Stegostoma tigrinum: one gene and its partner. The protein of the gene in region 2 interacts with the protein of the main gene of each other region in a biochemical or structural test. Links are inferred from orthologs where the notes say so. Each region holds a gene or a part of one and is shown on either strand. Other genes may lie near its edges.

Region 1 (3,917 bases), on a different chromosome or scaffold from region 2:
GCATCGGCAGTTCTTACGATCTCAAAGTTTGACGGAGATGTGCGAGGGAAGACTTTTTTTTAAAAACAGAGGGTGGGAGGTCTCTGGAACACAGCCAGGGGAGACAGCAGCCACTAATTTTATGAGGCATTTAGAGAGACAAATTAACATAGAGGAAATAAAGGGATACGGACCAAATGCAGGCAAAGGGATTAACTTATAATAGCCTCATGGTCAGCGCAGATATGTTGTCCAAAGGACCTGTTCCTGTGCTCTGCTGTTATATGTTCTCATCAGTGAGGGGAGCAGAGAAATTAAGGCAGCTGATGTCATGTCGACAGTTCTCAATAAAGAGATGAAATGCAGAGAAGATGACAGAAGGCTGGGTACTGAAGATCGGTGAAAGGGTCCATGGAACAAAGAGGAGGGGTCCTGTCCAGCGAAGTAGGCAAGGAGGCAAAGGCAATGATCAAAGAAGAGTTTGGCATCACATTGTGCAGTATGGTGGCTCAGTGGTTAACACTGCTGCCTCAGAGTCAGGAGCTGGGTTCAATTCCTCGGTGACTGTGCCTAAAGTCTGCACGTTGTCCTTGTGTCTGCATGGGTTTCCTCCCAAGTTCAAGGATGTGCAGGTAGGTTATGTGGATCAGCAATGCTGAATTGGCCCATAGTGCCTAGGGATGTGTGGACTGACCATGGGAATTGCAAGGTTACAGGTACAGGGTGGGTCTGAGCAGGAAGTTCTGAGGAGGTTCAACTGGCCAAATGGCCTGCTCCCACACAACTAGCCCTGTTCATTATGCAATGCCAAATCTAAAAATGCATTTCCCCTAATTGGTTCCAATTTTGCAAAAGCAATTCCATGAAATCAGTCAGTGCATTGAGTACAGGGGTTGGGAGGTCATGTTGCAGCTGTATATGACATTAGTTCAGCCACTTCTGGAGTACTGAATGCAATTCCAGTCTTCCTGCTATAGGAAGGATGTTGTGAAGCTAGAGAGGGTTCAGAAAAGATTTACAAGGGCATTGGCACGGTTGGAGATTGAGCTGTGGGGACAGGATGAACAGGTTGGGACTATTTTCCCTGGAGCTTTGGAGGTTGACACCTTATAGAGATGTATAAAATCATGAGGGGTATGGATAGGGTAAATAGGCAAGGTATTTTCCCTGGGTGGTGTCTAAAACTAGTGGGCATAGTTTTAAGGTGAGAGGGGAAGAATAATAAAAGGGAGCTAAAGGGCAACTTTTTCATGAAGAGTGTGATGCACATATGGAATGAGCTGCCAGAGGAAATTATGGAGGCTGGTATGATTACATTTAATAGGCATCTGGATGGACATATTAATAGGAAGGGTTTAGAGGGATATGGGCCAAATGCTGGCAAATGGGGACTAGATTAGATTCCCTAGAGTATGGAAATAGGCCCTTTGGCCCAACAAGTCCTCACTGCCCCTTGAGGCATCTCACCCAGACCCATCCCCCTATAACTCACACACCCCTGAACACTACAGGCAATTTAGCAAGGCCAATCCACCTAGCCTGCACATCTTTGGCCTGTGGGAGGAAACTGGAACACCCAGAGGAAACCCACGCAGACACAGGGAGAATGTGCAAACTCCGCACAGACAGAGGCTGGAATCGAACCTGAGTCCCTGGGGCTGTGAGGCTGCAGTGCTAACCACTGAGCCACCCCAGATATAGGATATCTGGTTAGCATGGACGAGTTGGACCCAAGAGTCTCTTGCCATACTGTATATCTCTATGATTCTAGAACTGATCTTCAACCTCACCTTTGCTAATTTGATTGGTCCAATCTGCGTAGAAAATCAGAAAACAATAACCCGGAAATTGCTGGAAAAGCTCAGCAGGTCTGGCAGCATCTGTGAAGAAAAACCAGAGTTAATATTTCGGGTCCGGTGACCCTTACAACGAATACACCGCCTTTATCATAAACATCTTAATGCTCTCATGTCCATCTGCGACGACAGCATCCACGTGTAATCGGCCAATCAGTAAATTTACAAATAAATCACGCAACGATAATCAAAGCTTTTCAATTATAAATTTCCTGTTATCGCTGTGTGCAAAATACTGATCTCTTTAGCGAAAAAAAACACTTTTAGAAACATTTTAATATGTATGGCTTGTATTGTTGGTGTCAGTTTTAAAGCATTGATGTAAAGAGGGAATATTTTCAATAAAGAAATTAAATTCCCTTCCCTCTATAACGACGACCTGAACGAAATCACAATAACTGGCAACGTGAAGTGTGGGACTACAGGTACGCAGATTGCGCAAAATGCTATTCTTCCATTTTAACCCAAAACGGGAATTGCACCACTTCAAAGCAATTACTTTTTAAAATATCCAGAACCAGTCTCATATCACACGATTGGGGATCACAAAAATTTGGGACGAGAATTCTCGTTACGTTATCCAGCATGATGATGGTTGTGAAGTCTGACTATGACAACATATGAAAGAGGACAGGACAATGGCCGTTTGATTCGTTGGAAAATTTTAGCCTCATCGATCTTAAGCGCGTGGATGTGCATTACCGCAGCAGTATGATGCTGAAGATCAATCGGTAATCAACGAGCAATCCAACGGAGGCATAATTGCAGCCGCGTGAGCCACCCTTGCACTCGAGGCCAGCTCGCGATCTGTCAATCACCGTCCGCCTCATCATTTTAACTCCCACGTCACCATGGAGACCCCGCAACGCTCTAGAACACACACCCACCCCCCCCAAAAGAAAACGGCTTTCGTGCTTGAGGGAAGGAAGAAAGCGAGCAGCGCAGCCCACACCTTAGTGAGCACCTCCTTTTTTTCATCTTTCTCTTTGCGTTTCTCCCCTTCCTCTCTGTCTCTGAACTGGATCTCCACGCGCCGCTCGCGCCCCTTGTTCTCTTTCTCTTCTTTCATTCCGCACACTCTTCACTCCACCGCCTATCGCTCGCACACTCTGTCAACCTCTTGCTGTGCTCGCACTCGTGTTGACACATCTCGCGATGACGCGCACGCTCACAGGCCTCCTCCCACGTGATGCTCCCGGATGGGCTGACTCCGCCCTCTCCAACCGCCCAGCGGGGTGCGTGTTGAGGTGACTTGTTACTGTTTTTGACGGCATCTGCGTGGATTTCGCTGGTGTATCTAAGGGCTTGCAATATTGGAGCGATACTTTGTCTTCAAAGTCTCTACGTTTAAAGATGATCACAGAGATAATACATTTATCTATTGACTATGGAACCGATCCTTAAGTAGTATAGGATAAATTCCTGAATAATATCGTATTAAATTGATGACGTTGTAAAACCAGTTCAGTATGTATTGAGGAAAGTCCTGGCTGCCTCCAGGCTTGATAGATAAAGGTTGAAGATCTGGAAAAGGGCAGTGACAGCTACAATAGGATGGTGGCAATGAAATAATCTGAAAAACAGAGAGTATGCCTTGACTCAAAGGATCTAAATACAGATCTGATAAATTCTCACTACCCCACGCAAACCATTAAAGAAATTTTGTAACAACGTGAAAGGGCAATTTTATGTCACCACCCTAGATGTGAAGATGGGTTACTAGGAAATGAAGCTGAATTAAGACAGTAGCTTTCTTGCTACAATCTGAATGCGGACTGGGCTTTAGAAATAGTTGTACAGAAACAGAAAAACTCAGCAGGTCTGGCAGCATCTGTGGAGAGAGCAGAGTTAATATTTCCATAAGACCATAAGACATAGGAGTGGAAGTAAGGCCATTCGGCCCATCAAGTCCACTCCGCCATTTAAATCATGGCGGATGGGCATTTCAACACCACTTCCCTGCACTCTCCCTGTAGGCCTTGATTCCTTTTGAGATCAAGAATTTGTTGATCTCTGACTTGAAGGCATCCAACGTCCTGGCCTCCACTGCACTCTGCGGCAATGAATTCCACAAGGCCACCA
Region 2 (3,917 bases):
ACAGATCAAAGGCAGCAAGGTCTGCTGATTCTGGTTGCTATAATTTAGTAAAATTGTTTCATTGTGATGATGATGCAAAGAACCAAATTTTGAAACCATTCCAGTTCTTGGATTTTTTCATCCTATAATAACAACACCTAAATATACTGTGGTTTTAAAAAGTCTCACAAAAAAAACTAGAGAATATTAACCAAGAATAGGACACACAGAAGTCAACAAGGTCTTGAGTGGAGGACTGGGAATAATTTCCATTGGTTGGTGAGTTTCAACATAAAAGCATCAATTTCAAGATCTTCACAAATAAAACAAAGGTGGTCAGGAGGACTACTTTAGACAGAGAATTATAAGGGAATAGAATGTTTGACCAGAAACAGTGCAGAACCCGAACCCATGCTGACATTTGAAAGAGATGGGGAAAGCATTTAAAGTACGCAAAGAAACTGAACAGTTGGCAAGCTCCTACAGTCAGCACAACTTGATGATTAGCCGTCCCAGCTTTATAAATTCTGAGACTCTAAAAACAAATGGGATTCTTCACATTTTTTAACCAACTATCAAGCCAGTGATGTTGTGCAAGGAAATACAAGGTCACAACTACCGCAGGTGTCAATTCCAGTTGAAAACAACTTCTGTTCTCTCAACTACTGTGGTATCAAATCCTACCTTATACCAGCGTATCCGTCAAGTCATAAGATTAGTCTCAGAAGGAACTGAGTAGGTAAAATGGCTGCCTCAGTGTAGCTCACCACAATTCTGCAAGGACAAGACATTATGTCACTTTTGTTTAATTCAAAGAAATTCATGCTCCAAAATCAAATTGTTATCCTACTTTAATAGAAAAATTAATGCATGGTTTCCTCAACACAAGTATCTTTTGAATACAAAATATTATAAGTAGACTAAAATAAATAGTAATACTAATTTGCTTAAGGAACAATGTATATAGCTCACCATATATATCTATCAACATTACATTTTCAATAAAATTTCCCATTATATTAGAATTTAAAAGTTAAAATCAGCTCATTTAAACATCCCTTATGTTTTTACTTCAAAATCCCATACCAGTCATAACATTACATTAAAACGATGGTGAAGAATACAAAGGCAAAGAAAACAAATCGCTGGAATAACTCAGGAGGTCCAGCATCGCAAAGAGAAAAACAGGGTTAACTTTTGAGTCTTGCGACCCTTGAAAGATTAACCTTGTTTTCTTTTCACAGATGCTCCCAAACCTTATCTCCAGCATTAGCAGTTCTGTATGTGATTTTAGTGAACAACACTCAATAGTTGGTTTCATTTGACACCTCTCCATTCTATAATAAACAGGAAACACAGGATGTGTTTATTACCTAAATATTTACTGCAAAATACTATAACATAAACAAGTTGCACTGGACCCAAAACCCAATACCAATGGCTTCAAAATGGGTCAGTTTCTGTTTAGAGACCATAAGCTTTGGAGCAGAATAAGGCCATTCAAATTGTGGGTGATATAAAAATGAAGGTGAGGGGGTCAGATATTGTGATCAGAAAATACGACATTTCCCCATACTTTTGAAAGTCCATTAACCACAGCATTGATTAAACACACTGTAGATGAGCAAAGGGCAATGGTATTACCCTGGAAAAATCTAGAATGAAGAGGAAGGAGTCAATATCAAAATAACTATTCAGGTTGAGTGTGATGGGATGCAGTGGGAAACTTAGAAATTGAGGGCAGGTCTTCCCAAATCCAGTGGATAGAGATTGGGAAGTGAGGGAGGGGAGAGGAGAAAGGGTAAAGGGGGCAAAAGAGGGCAAAGGGGGCAAAGGGGGCAAAGGGCAAAGAGGGCAAAGAGGGCAAGGGGGAAAAGAGGGCAAGGGGGCAAAGAGGGCAAGGGGGCAAAGAGGGCAAGGGGGCAAAGAGGGCAAGGGGGCAAAGAGGGCAAGGGGGCAAAGAGGGCAAGGGGGCAAAGAGGGCAAGGGGGCAAGGGGGCAAAGAGGGCAAGGGGGCAAGGGGGCAAAGAGGGCAAGGGGGCAAAGAGGGCAAGGGGGAAAAGAGGGCAAGGGGGAAAAGAGGGCAAGGGGGAAAAGAGGGCAAGGGGGAAAAGAGGGCAAGGAAAAGTGGAGAGGGGAGAGGAACCCCACGCACACCTGGAGCTGGGTGGTGGGTTGTTGGGGGGGGGGGGGAGAGACGGTGATTTGGTGAGAGCCCTGGCTCCGGGTGACGGATGGCACAGGCCCCGGGGGCCACAGCCACTGGCAGCGGAAAGTCACAGAGAGAGAGACAGAGAGAGATCGCACAGAGCCGGGTGTCCCGCTGCGGAAAGGCGCAGTTACCGGCTCCCGGAGGTGTCCCGGGTGATAGGGAACGGGCCAGGCTGCAGTTCGAAGCGGGCACACGGAGAGCCGACAGCGGCGGAACTGACACCAACCTCCGCCTCCCCTCCCCCCACCGCCCCAGTATCAGGACCCCGCCTGCACGGCCTGACCCGACAGCCGCCTGACCAGCACCTGCGCACGGTCACGACAAAAACATAGGCTGCTGCTCGTATCGCATCGAGGGGGGGCGGCAGCAGGATGTCAGGCTCACTGGCGATAGACAGCCGCCGCCGTTTGATTTCTCTCTCTATCTCTCTCCACGAGAGACAGGCGCTCAATAGGGCTAGAGGCGTCAGGGAAGCCCCCTGACTCCGCCCCCCCCCCCCAGCATCTGCCAGACGCGGGGGGGGCGCAGAGGAGGGCAATAGGGAGCGGGGGTAATAGACACCAGGGGGGCAATAGGGACTGGGGGCAATAGGGACCAGGGCAATAGGATGGGGGGGCAATAGGGACTGGGGGTAATAAAATAGGGGGGCAATTGGGACCAGGGCAATAAGATAGGGGGCATTAGGGACAGGGGGCATTAGACACCAGGGGGGCAATAGGGACCAGGGCAATAAGATAGGGGGCATTAGGGACTGGGGGCAATAGGGACCAGGGCAATAGGATGGGGGGGCAATAGGGACTGGGGGTAATAAAATAGGGGGGGCAATTGGGACCAGGGCAATAAGATAGGGGGCATTAGGGACAGGGGGCATTAGACACCAGGGGGGCAATAGGGACCAGGGCAATAAGATAGGGGGCATTAGGGACAGGGGGCATTAGACACCAGGGGGGCAATAGGGACCAGGGCAATAAGATAGGGGGCATTAGGGACAGGGGGCATTAGACACCAGGGGGGCAATAGGGACCAGGGCAATAAGATAGGGGGCATTAGGGACAGGGGGCAATAGACACCAGGGGGGCAATAGGGACCAGGGCAATAAGATAGGGGGCATTAGGGACAGGGGGCAATAGACACCAGGGGGGCAATAGGGACCAGGGCAATAAGATAGGGGGCATTAGGGACCAGGGCAATAAGATAGGGGGAACAATAGGACAGGGGGAATAGGGACCAGGGGTAATTCAATGGTGGGAATAGGAACCAGGAAGGGAATAAGATGGTGGGAATAGGATGGTGGGAATAGAATAGGGGTATATTGACCGGGGGGTGGGAATAGGATAGGGGGAGATAGGGACGGGGGCGTGGGAATAGGATAGGGGGGTGGGGGGAACAGGATAGGATAGGGGGTGGAAGGGAGGATGGAGATGGTGTGGGGGATGGAAGGGAGGGGTTGGAATGCGTGGACTGAGGGGAGGATGAGTATGGGAGGAAGATAAGACAATGCAGGGCAGATGGGTGGATAGGGGAGGGGCAGGTGAAGGGAGAGGATAGGATGAGATAGAAGGTAGATGGAGAAGATGAAGGGGAAGCAGGAAGGTTGGAGGGGAGGGGGAGATGGTGGGGGAGGGCTGTAAGTGATAAGGAAGATACAGGAGGTGGTAGGAGGATGAGGGGGTGTGTGTTATTGGGATGGTGGAATGGGAGGTAGTGCAGAAGGAGTGGAGTTGAG

Evidence for each region.
Region 1: the proteins of upf2 (region 2) and upf3a form a complex in vitro, tested with the Homo sapiens proteins (2 studies listed by IntAct, with this or other methods). The link is inferred for Stegostoma tigrinum from reciprocal best matches to the Homo sapiens genes UPF2 and UPF3A.

What each region holds. Positions count from the first base shown.
Region 1 is NC_081359.1:66,907,445-66,911,361, forward strand, and holds the start of upf3a (regulator of nonsense transcripts 3A), read right to left. Parts: upstream 3,027-3,917; 5' UTR 2,905-3,026; coding exon 2,788-2,904; intron 2,651-2,787; exon of another isoform or gene 2,538-2,650; intron 1-2,537. UniProt on the Homo sapiens protein: Involved in nonsense-mediated decay (NMD) of mRNAs containing premature stop codons by associating with the nuclear exon junction complex (EJC) and serving as link between the EJC core and NMD machinery.
Region 2 is NC_081378.1:5,629,327-5,633,243, reverse strand, and holds the start of upf2 (regulator of nonsense transcripts 2), read right to left. Parts: upstream 2,633-3,917; 5' UTR 2,497-2,632; intron 2,441-2,496; exon of another isoform or gene 2,323-2,440; intron 754-2,322; 5' UTR 664-753; intron 1-663. UniProt on the Homo sapiens protein: Involved in nonsense-mediated decay (NMD) of mRNAs containing premature stop codons by associating with the nuclear exon junction complex (EJC).